2 linked regions of the Oryzias latipes genome follow. The protein of the gene in region 2 binds, or shares a complex with, the protein of the main gene of each other region. Links are inferred from orthologs where the notes say so. Each region holds a gene or a part of one and is shown on either strand. Other genes may lie near its edges.

Region 1 (4,187 bases), on a different chromosome or scaffold from region 2:
ACAGATGTGGGGCTCCAGGGCGCCGTAATCATAGGTCAGGTCAGGAAGTGTGTGTTTCTGCCTTGATGATCCGACTTTCCAAGAAACAGTTTGGTGCAGGATTGATGCACAACTGAGAAGGGGGAGAAAAGGCAAAAAACTCAACATCGTTGTGGCAAATAACCTTTTTTTAGCTTGTGATTTTAGCTCAACAAGCCAGTGACATTTACCAACCAATTAAAGTAAGAAATAGAAAACATGAACGAATTTGTACATGCAATAATACTTAAACGCTTACACTATACTAAGAGTTGTTTTCGTTGTACGTCACAAGTTTTTAACTAAGCAGCTAAACCAGATTAGCATTGAAGTTAGCTAACAGTTAGCACAACAAAGCAAACAGTTTTCCACGCTGCTGATACAAGTATTTTCTTTTAGTTTTTGAACTTTACATAAAAATATAACGTAGACACATCTTACCTGCGCATTTGCCAGACTTTGCAAAGCATGTTTGCTTAAAGGTTAGAGAGCCAAGAAAAGTGAAAACAAGGCGGTATTACTGCCCTTGAAATGGGCAATTTCAACTTGACAGCGGAGTCGACCGTACCATTATCAGAATATGGGGATGTTATCGAAAATGGCTTAAATTCATATAAGCTTGAAAGGCAATATATACTATTTTTATATATATTTATAAGATAATAATTATATTTTCGGCAATTCAATTGCAACCAACGTCATCTTTTAAATTTTGAGATTTATTTCTCGGTCTTACCACTTTTCCTTAGCCCTGTCTTTTGGTAGATACCGAAGATTTATTGTAACATGGGGCCACATGTGTGCGAAAAAAATTTTTTTAAGCCCTTTTCGTTTATTGTACTCAAAATTTAATCATATTAAACTATACAATATTTGTAAGGTTGAAAATTTGTAACAACTTTGCGTCACGATTAAAAAATAACTATGTAACCATTGGAATCACGTGGTCTTTGCGTCACTGTGTTGAAATGGATACCAAAGATCGTCTATATCTACAACGAACCACTCTACATAATTTAAATGCGATCTGTTGTGATTGTAAATTTTGTGATCAAAGTAAATCCAGTTTTTTGGTTTGCAATGCAAAAAAGATGAAAAGACGCGTAAGGTTATGTCACATCAGCAAGGAAATAAATTAATTTCCCTTTCTTAGTCATTACAACATTTGAGAATAGTATTGGGTCAACAGCTTTGGATCGTTTTCTTTAGATAAACTAATAATGTAATACATCGCAAACCCAGAAACATTCAAGGAAAAACACAGAACTAAATGCAGTTTTAAATCTTAAAACATTTGATCACAACCATTTTGATTGTCCGGAATTTTAGGATCGGAAAATGTGAGCGTAGTGAGCAGACTTTTCTCTCCTGTCCACTGCTGGTATTACTCCGCAGAAACTCAAGTGCAGTGCAGCACCTCATCCTCCAGAGCCGTCCTGTTCTTCTCTCGGTAAAGGGGATGATTCTGAACACTTAAAGACGAGGCCACAACTTTTAATCAACCACCACTCTTTACGCATTTAAAAACAGTTACAGAGAATCTGTAAACCTCGAAGGTTTTTCGAAACATTGAAGCGAACGGGCCCGGTGAGTGTTATGATCGCGTAGGCCGCGTGACTGCAGCTAAGAGCCCGCTAGTTTCAGGAAAAGAAGCGCAGGGGTGGGAGTCATTTCCTTCACCGCCATTTTGTTATAACAAGAAGCCGAACATAGCTAAGTAATTATACACTTGATGCTTAGATAAACGACACGTTGAAAGATAACATCGCAGGTCTCTAAAATGTGTTTACGTCGCCGAAATGCTAAACGATTATTAGCAGTGAGGGGTTAACCTTGAGTACTTTTTAAAGGAAACCCTCCGCCGCTGACTGCAACAGTCGTTAGTAGTACTCGGCACGACATACCCTATTATCGGGTTATGTTCACTTTAGTTTCGCGGGTTTGTTGAATATAGCAATGGCAGTTCACTGTTGACACTTCAGTTTTGTCGGGAAGGCCCGTTTATAATAATTTTTGAGGGCGTCTGTGATCAAACGTGACGTCTAATATTTAACTGCGTGACGGCCAGCGCGAGGACAGGATGCCCAACAAAAAAAATAACACGTTTTCTGCTTATTTTCATTCCTAGAGAGCACAATGACCAACGAAGAACCTCTGCCCAAGAAGGTGAGTCTGATCCAGATTAAAACTACTCTTTAAGGGTGCTGTTGGTTGGTAATGGATGTCTAAGCAGCTTTTTGTTTATTCTATTTTTATTTTATTTTACAGGTTCGCCTCACTGAATCTGATTTGAAGACCTTGACCAGAGAGGAGCTGTGTACACGGTAAACAACAGCCCCTGTCCCCTCCTGTCTTCTGATGATGTTGAGCTGTTTACATGGATCTCATTCTCCTCAGGTGGAAGCAGCATGAATCATATGTCCAGGTCTTGGAGACTAAATATGCAGAGCTGTGTTGTAAGTTCACTTAAAAAATAGATCTAGCCCGTTGCATCGCAGAGTGTCGGCTGATGAGTTTGTTTCTCTTCCCTCCCATCATCCACCCCCCTCAGCCAACGACGTCCCGGGCCTGAAGGAGTCTGAGGAAAAGCTAAAGCAGCAGCAGCAGGAGTCGGCTCGGAGGGAAAACATCCTGGTCATGCGACTTGCCACCAAGGAGCAGGAGATGCAGGAGTGCACAGTAAGTCTCTCGCTCAGGTTTTTAATATGCAACACTAAAAAGATGAGTTGTTCTAAAGTTGCAGCACCTGGAAGAAATATTTAATGCTTTCTGTATCGTTACAGTATAATTTCTAAACATTTTTCTGCCTTTATTAGATAGAAAGTTTGAAGATAAAATGTTAAAAGCATAAGAATCACTAAAAAAACTTGACAAACCTGAAAGCATCTGTCTTTAGGGGATAAAAACACCAAAATATTAGATTCTTTTTAATTAATATTTCTTTTCAAATTGCCTACAAGGTGGGGGTTGTTTTTTATTTTGGAGTCTATCAATTTACCAAGACACATGTTAAGGATTTATAAATTGCATGAAAGGGAATGTGTGTTAATGAGAACACATCTTGGTTTGTAATCATTCTAGATGAGAACAAGTTGTGGTGGTTTGCAAGCTTTTACATCCAAATATTTAAAGTATTTTCTTTCTTATCACTTTTTAGATGTGGATACTGAATCGCCTGTTTGCTATTTTAAAACGACACTAGAGTGAAAGCAGCTTTTACTTAAAGCCTCGGATGAAAATTGTGTTTTTGACATGTTCTTGTGGGGTTTTTCTAATGGAAGAGGACATATTTAAAGACAGTTAGGCTTAAAGTTGCATTTCTAAGTATTTCTTTATTCAAATCATGAATCAGGAGTGGTTGGTAAAATTCTGCTACATAGGAAAATAGACTGATCTCTGATCTGCTGCATTCTGATCCATCCACTTGTAGGCAGATCCACGTGCGTCTTTGTTTTCCTCGCCTGAGCTGGCATCAGGCTCAGAACTCGTCTGGAAGGCTCCAGTATTGCTCACGATTTTTGTTGCGCTGGTAATGTTAGGTTGAGTCTGTGAAGGGCTGTAAGCTAGCAGGAGAGAGCGATAACAAATGGGTGGAGAAGCAGAGGCAAATTTCTAACGAACAACTGCCTTTCTGCAGAAAATATGTCCTTTAAAATAAAGATATTTTTTACATAATTTTTTTCTACAATTACTTTGTTTTTATATTCTATTTCCTTTTAAGATTACAATGCTATTGTAACACACAAATTTCCCATGTGTGGGATCAATAAAGTGATTCTGATTCTAAAAACAACATAAGCGTAATTACAAGACCACTGGGAAAGTTTTTAAAATCACTCAAAAGAGGATCGAAGTGGGACTTAAAACTAAGCGTCTAGACGCAGATTAGCCTAGATTTTGATCTATTTGAAAGCAGTTTTGTTACATTTTTAAAGGGAAGATGTTTAGGTGTTAAAAGCAGCTTCATAATGTGTGTGACTGGACTCTAACACCTGCCTGTTGCCTCCTACAGACACAGATCCAGTACCTGAAGCAAGTCCAGCAGCCGAGTGCAGCCCAGCTGCGGTCGTCCATGGTGGATCCAGCCATCAACTTGTTTTTCCTCAAAATGAAGGCTGAACTGGAACAGACTAAAGACAAACTGGAGCAGGCCCAAAATGAACTGAGTG
Region 2 (4,021 bases):
AGACGTTACTGTATCTACTTGTTTGCCAGTGGATGGATCAGAGTGGAGCGGAGCTGGGAGACTTTCTGCCGCCCATTTCAAACGCTGCATCACAACTGAAAGCTTTTCCAAATAGTGGGTTTTTATCTGCTCCTGATCCATCCATCCATCCATCTTCTTAACCGTTTTTCCCTTTCGGGGTCACGGGGCTGCCGGAGCCTATCCCGGCCACTTGTGGGCGAGGTCTGTCGCAGGGTAGAATGTCCACAAACACACCACACACTCTCACACATAGGGACAATTTAGAGTGACCAATTAACCTATGAAGCATGTTTTTGGATGGTGGGAAGAAGCCGGAGACCCCGGAGAAAACCCACACATACACGGGGAGAACATGCAAACTCCACACAGAAAAGCCCCCTGTTGATGTTGTTTTTCATGTCCCCCAGCTGGGACTTGAACCGGAGGCCTTCTTGCTGTGAGGCAAGAGTGCTAACCACTGCGCCACCGTGCAGCCTCCTGATCCATCACCATGGAAATAAAAAATACTCAAAAAAGCAGTTTTCTTGTTTTTCCCTACATCCTGAGCAAAACGCTATGAGGAGAAGAACCCCCAATAACATGATTTTCATCAGAGTCGGTCTTTAAAAAAAATTTTTGATTCCTCTGCTCCATTTAGGATTGTTCAGTTGTTAAATTTTATTTCCACTTATTTTAAGGAATCTATTGTTCAACTTGCAAACAAACAAACAAAAACCACAACAACAAAAAGAAAACAAAGTAATCTCGAATTGCTAGCTACTTACTGTAAAGTTGTTATAATAATCAACATTTGTGATTTTGCTCCTAAAATAATTTTTTAGAATCTATATATATCTTTCTAAAGACTGTGAGGAAGTTTTGAAATAAAACATTTAGATGTGCTTTTCAAATATTTTTATATTAGAAAGATTTTAAATTAACACAATAAAATTGTATATATACAGACAAAAATTTTCTTTACTGGCTTTTTTGTGTTTACAATTAATACTATAAATTGTTTACAGAGGTTTTTACTTTCGTTATGTTGTTTGGTCGCTGTAGTTCAGATAATAACCTAAATAATCAATAAAAACATCAGTTTTTTATCTGCGAGAATCTATTTGTTAATTCACTAACTTGAAATTATAACAATAAAATGTATTTTAAATCATTTATATGAACAAGCAAAAACGTAGAGGATAAAAAGTAAAGGTTGTGATTGAATGGTGTCCCTGAGACTGAGACCAGCCTAACCTGCGGACAGCTGCGTTGGGTCTTTCCGTCGCCGCTGTAGCCTTTCCCGAAGCGAATCCAACTGCTTCTTATGCGCCTGAATGTTGCTCCATGTATCCGACATGACGAGCTGGAGAAATCAACACGAAATCAGTTGCAAGTCCCAAAAATGAAGAAACTTCCAAACTAACAAAATCACCCTCGGCACCTAAAGGAGCCCCGAATGTCCGGTCCAGAGAAAAGTCTCGGGCAAGTAACTCGATTGCGGTTAATGTTTCCGCTGAAAAATTACTGCTTTATCTCAATAGTATTAATAATTACACCAACTATCAAGATGTAAAAAACACGATATTGTACTAGTATACTTGTTACTTATATTTTTACAATTTGTTATTTTTGCCCCTAAAATGAAAAATGAATTGTTTTGTCGGACTCTTTTCTGTGAAGGACCGCTTCTACTTCCCGCGTCACTGAAAATCCATTTCCGTCATGCAAAAAAACAAAAAACAAAACAAGGATTTCAGTTTATTTTTGTTACTGTTTTTTCCTCGTAGTTTTATTTTTGTCTGAGTCTTGCAGTTATAGTGCGTTTGTTTAAACATATTGTTTTTAGCCTCCGTGTTTTTTTCTCTCCGTTAGTCTTTGTTCCCCCCCAGTTCGCAGTGAGTTTGTCAAAGATGGCGGAGGAGAAAGGGAAAAGGGATGAACCCAAAAGTGAGGAGCAAATGATGAAGGCAAGTCTTTCCAGTCTTTTGAGACTTTGTTTTTTCTCTCGTGTCGTTTCTTTTAGACTATGATATTTATATCTCGCCGTTATCCGTGTTGCGCGTCTGCGCCTCACATGATTAAGCAGCAGCTCAGTCTCAGTCAGTGGATGAAATCAGCTGTTTTTCTAAAGATGCGGTGCTTGATGTTGCTGTATTTCCACAGAAGTGGCTCCACATTTGTTCCAAACATTTGGAAGTCCAGGTTTTATATATCTTCTATAGAAAAGGGATCACTGAGGCACCAAACCATACGGAATGGATGATGTTTGGCTACAATTGTTCACATCTACTAAGCTAACACATATCAATGTTACAAAAATTAAAGCTTTAACCAAAAAGAAAAAAAGGAAAGTGTTAGGTGAGTAGTGGTATTCAGTAACAACACAACTTAACCTGAAATGTTGGAACAACAAACGATTAAAAGATCCACAAAATATTATGCTCTTAATTTGTAGGATTTCATTAAATGGGAGATAACTTGGCAAATATGAAAATAACAAAAGTCCTACTTTCAGAAAACAATCACGAATAACTGTTTTTATTGTTGACAGTTTTGTGTAATTTATCTTAAAGGCCCTCTTGGACAATTCATAGGCAAATTTCCTAACTCCTGCCGCTGTGCAGAAACTTTGTCCTAGAAAACATCACACATTTTTTGATTTTGGCTAAAAAGATCATAATCATACTTAAAAGACCCCTGGAAACACCTTTACAACAGATCAAAAAAGGATCGGATTGGGACTTTACTTTTTTTAAAATAAATGTTTATAAAATAGTGTTACGTTCTCACCTCCTCTGTAACGCAGGAGCTGGTGGATGACCTCTACGACTTCCGAGATCATTATTATGAGACGCACGGCGCCGAGCAGGTTGGAAAGAAGCAAAGCGATGTGACCCGACGGATGGAAGAAACCCTGAAGAAGCTAGAGGACAAAGAAAGTGGGTAATACAGCTCTAAAAAACAGATTTTTGTCAACTTATTTAGCAAAATATCCTCCTTTCAACTGGCTCCTTCGTTTCCTCCTATTAACAGACTGCTTTAAGAACAAGGCCGGGTTTTTGCTGCTGAAAGGCAGGTGTCTGAATGTGGCTCCGGACTTCTGTCCCAGAGCGGAGGAGTGCCTTTCCCGTGCCGTTAAGCTGGACCCCAGCCTGGTCGAGGCTTGGAACATCTTGGGGGAGCAGTACTGGAAGAAGAAAGACCTGATCGGAGCTAAAAACTGCTTCACTGGTGCTTTGCAGCAGGTGCTGCAGCTGTAACAAACAGAAACTATCTGTCTCTTTGTGGAAGAGCTTACTTTGTGACTAACTAAATGCTGGTTTTCCCTAAACCTTCACAGAGCAAGAACAATGTGTCTCTGCGCAATCTGTCTATGGTTTTGAGGCAGCTACCAGCAGCCAACGGGGAGGAGCATCGCAAGCAGGTGCTGCACAGCGTAGACCTGGCCCGCCAAGCTGTCCAGTTGGACGTTAAGGATGGAACGTCTTGGCGTGAGTGAAATAAAAACAAAGATCCGTTTTACAGACCTCGCAAAGACCCACTCCAGTGAAAATGGTGTTTGGGGTGTTTTTTTTTTGAATATGTTCTTGCGGCATTTTCCTGATGATGGAGGTCATACATAAAGAAAGTTAAGCGTAAATTTCTAAGTATTTCATTATTCAAATCGTTGTGAATCAGACGGAAAAAAAGCTGAAAAAGATCGTATTTGTAATGTAGAAAATACGCTGGGCGGGCCACAAGCTCCGCTGCATCCATTTGTAGACAACTACATCCATGTACGTCTTTGTTTTCCTCCTCTGCGCTGGAATCTGGCTGAGGCTGGATAGTTCAAACATTGCTCACCATTTTTGTTGTACTGGTTATGTTAGGTTGCAGGTGTGAGGGGCTGTAAGCTAGCAGGAGAGAGTGTAAACTGATGGATGATGGGAAGGGAGACGGGCAGTCCTCCCAATCTATTTATCTACAAGCACATGCATCAGAATGGAGCAGAGGAGGGAGCTTGTGTTGTATTTTCTGTCAC

Evidence for each region.
Region 1: mettl3 (region 2) and wtap share a complex: the UniProt entries of both Homo sapiens proteins name them as parts of the WMM complex. The link is inferred for Oryzias latipes from reciprocal best matches to the Homo sapiens genes METTL3 and WTAP.

The regions. Positions count from the first base shown.
Region 1 is NC_019882.2:7,325,449-7,329,635, reverse strand, and holds the start of wtap (pre-mRNA-splicing regulator WTAP), read left to right. Parts: upstream 1-1,385; 5' UTR 1,386-1,468; exon of another isoform or gene 1,469-1,605; intron 1,606-1,658; exon of another isoform or gene 1,659-1,735; intron 1,736-2,146; 5' UTR 2,147-2,154; coding exon 2,155-2,184; intron 2,185-2,286; coding exon 2,287-2,342; intron 2,343-2,415; coding exon 2,416-2,474; intron 2,475-2,569; coding exon 2,570-2,697; intron 2,698-4,030; coding exon 4,031-4,187. Other genes in the region: sod2 (superoxide dismutase [Mn], mitochondrial), read right to left, coding at 1-112, 460-488. UniProt on the Homo sapiens protein: Associated component of the WMM complex, a complex that mediates N6-methyladenosine (m6A) methylation of RNAs, a modification that plays a role in the efficiency of mRNA splicing and RNA processing.
Region 2 is NC_019876.2:17,637,146-17,641,166, forward strand, and holds the start of mettl3 (N6-adenosine-methyltransferase catalytic subunit), read right to left. Parts: upstream 2,807-4,021; 5' UTR 2,791-2,806; intron 1,968-2,790; coding exon of another isoform or gene 1,911-1,967; exon of another isoform or gene 1,705-1,910; intron 1,574-1,704; exon of another isoform or gene 1,442-1,573; intron 1,364-1,441; 5' UTR 1,358-1,363; coding exon 1,255-1,357; intron 1-1,254. Other genes in the region: ttc5 (tetratricopeptide repeat protein 5), read left to right, coding at 1,911-1,967, 2,807-2,939, 3,034-3,245, 3,341-3,491. UniProt on the Homo sapiens protein: The METTL3-METTL14 heterodimer forms a N6-methyltransferase complex that methylates adenosine residues at the N(6) position of some RNAs and regulates various processes such as the circadian clock, differentiation of embryonic and hematopoietic stem cells, cortical neurogenesis, response to DNA damage, differentiation of T-cells and primary miRNA processing.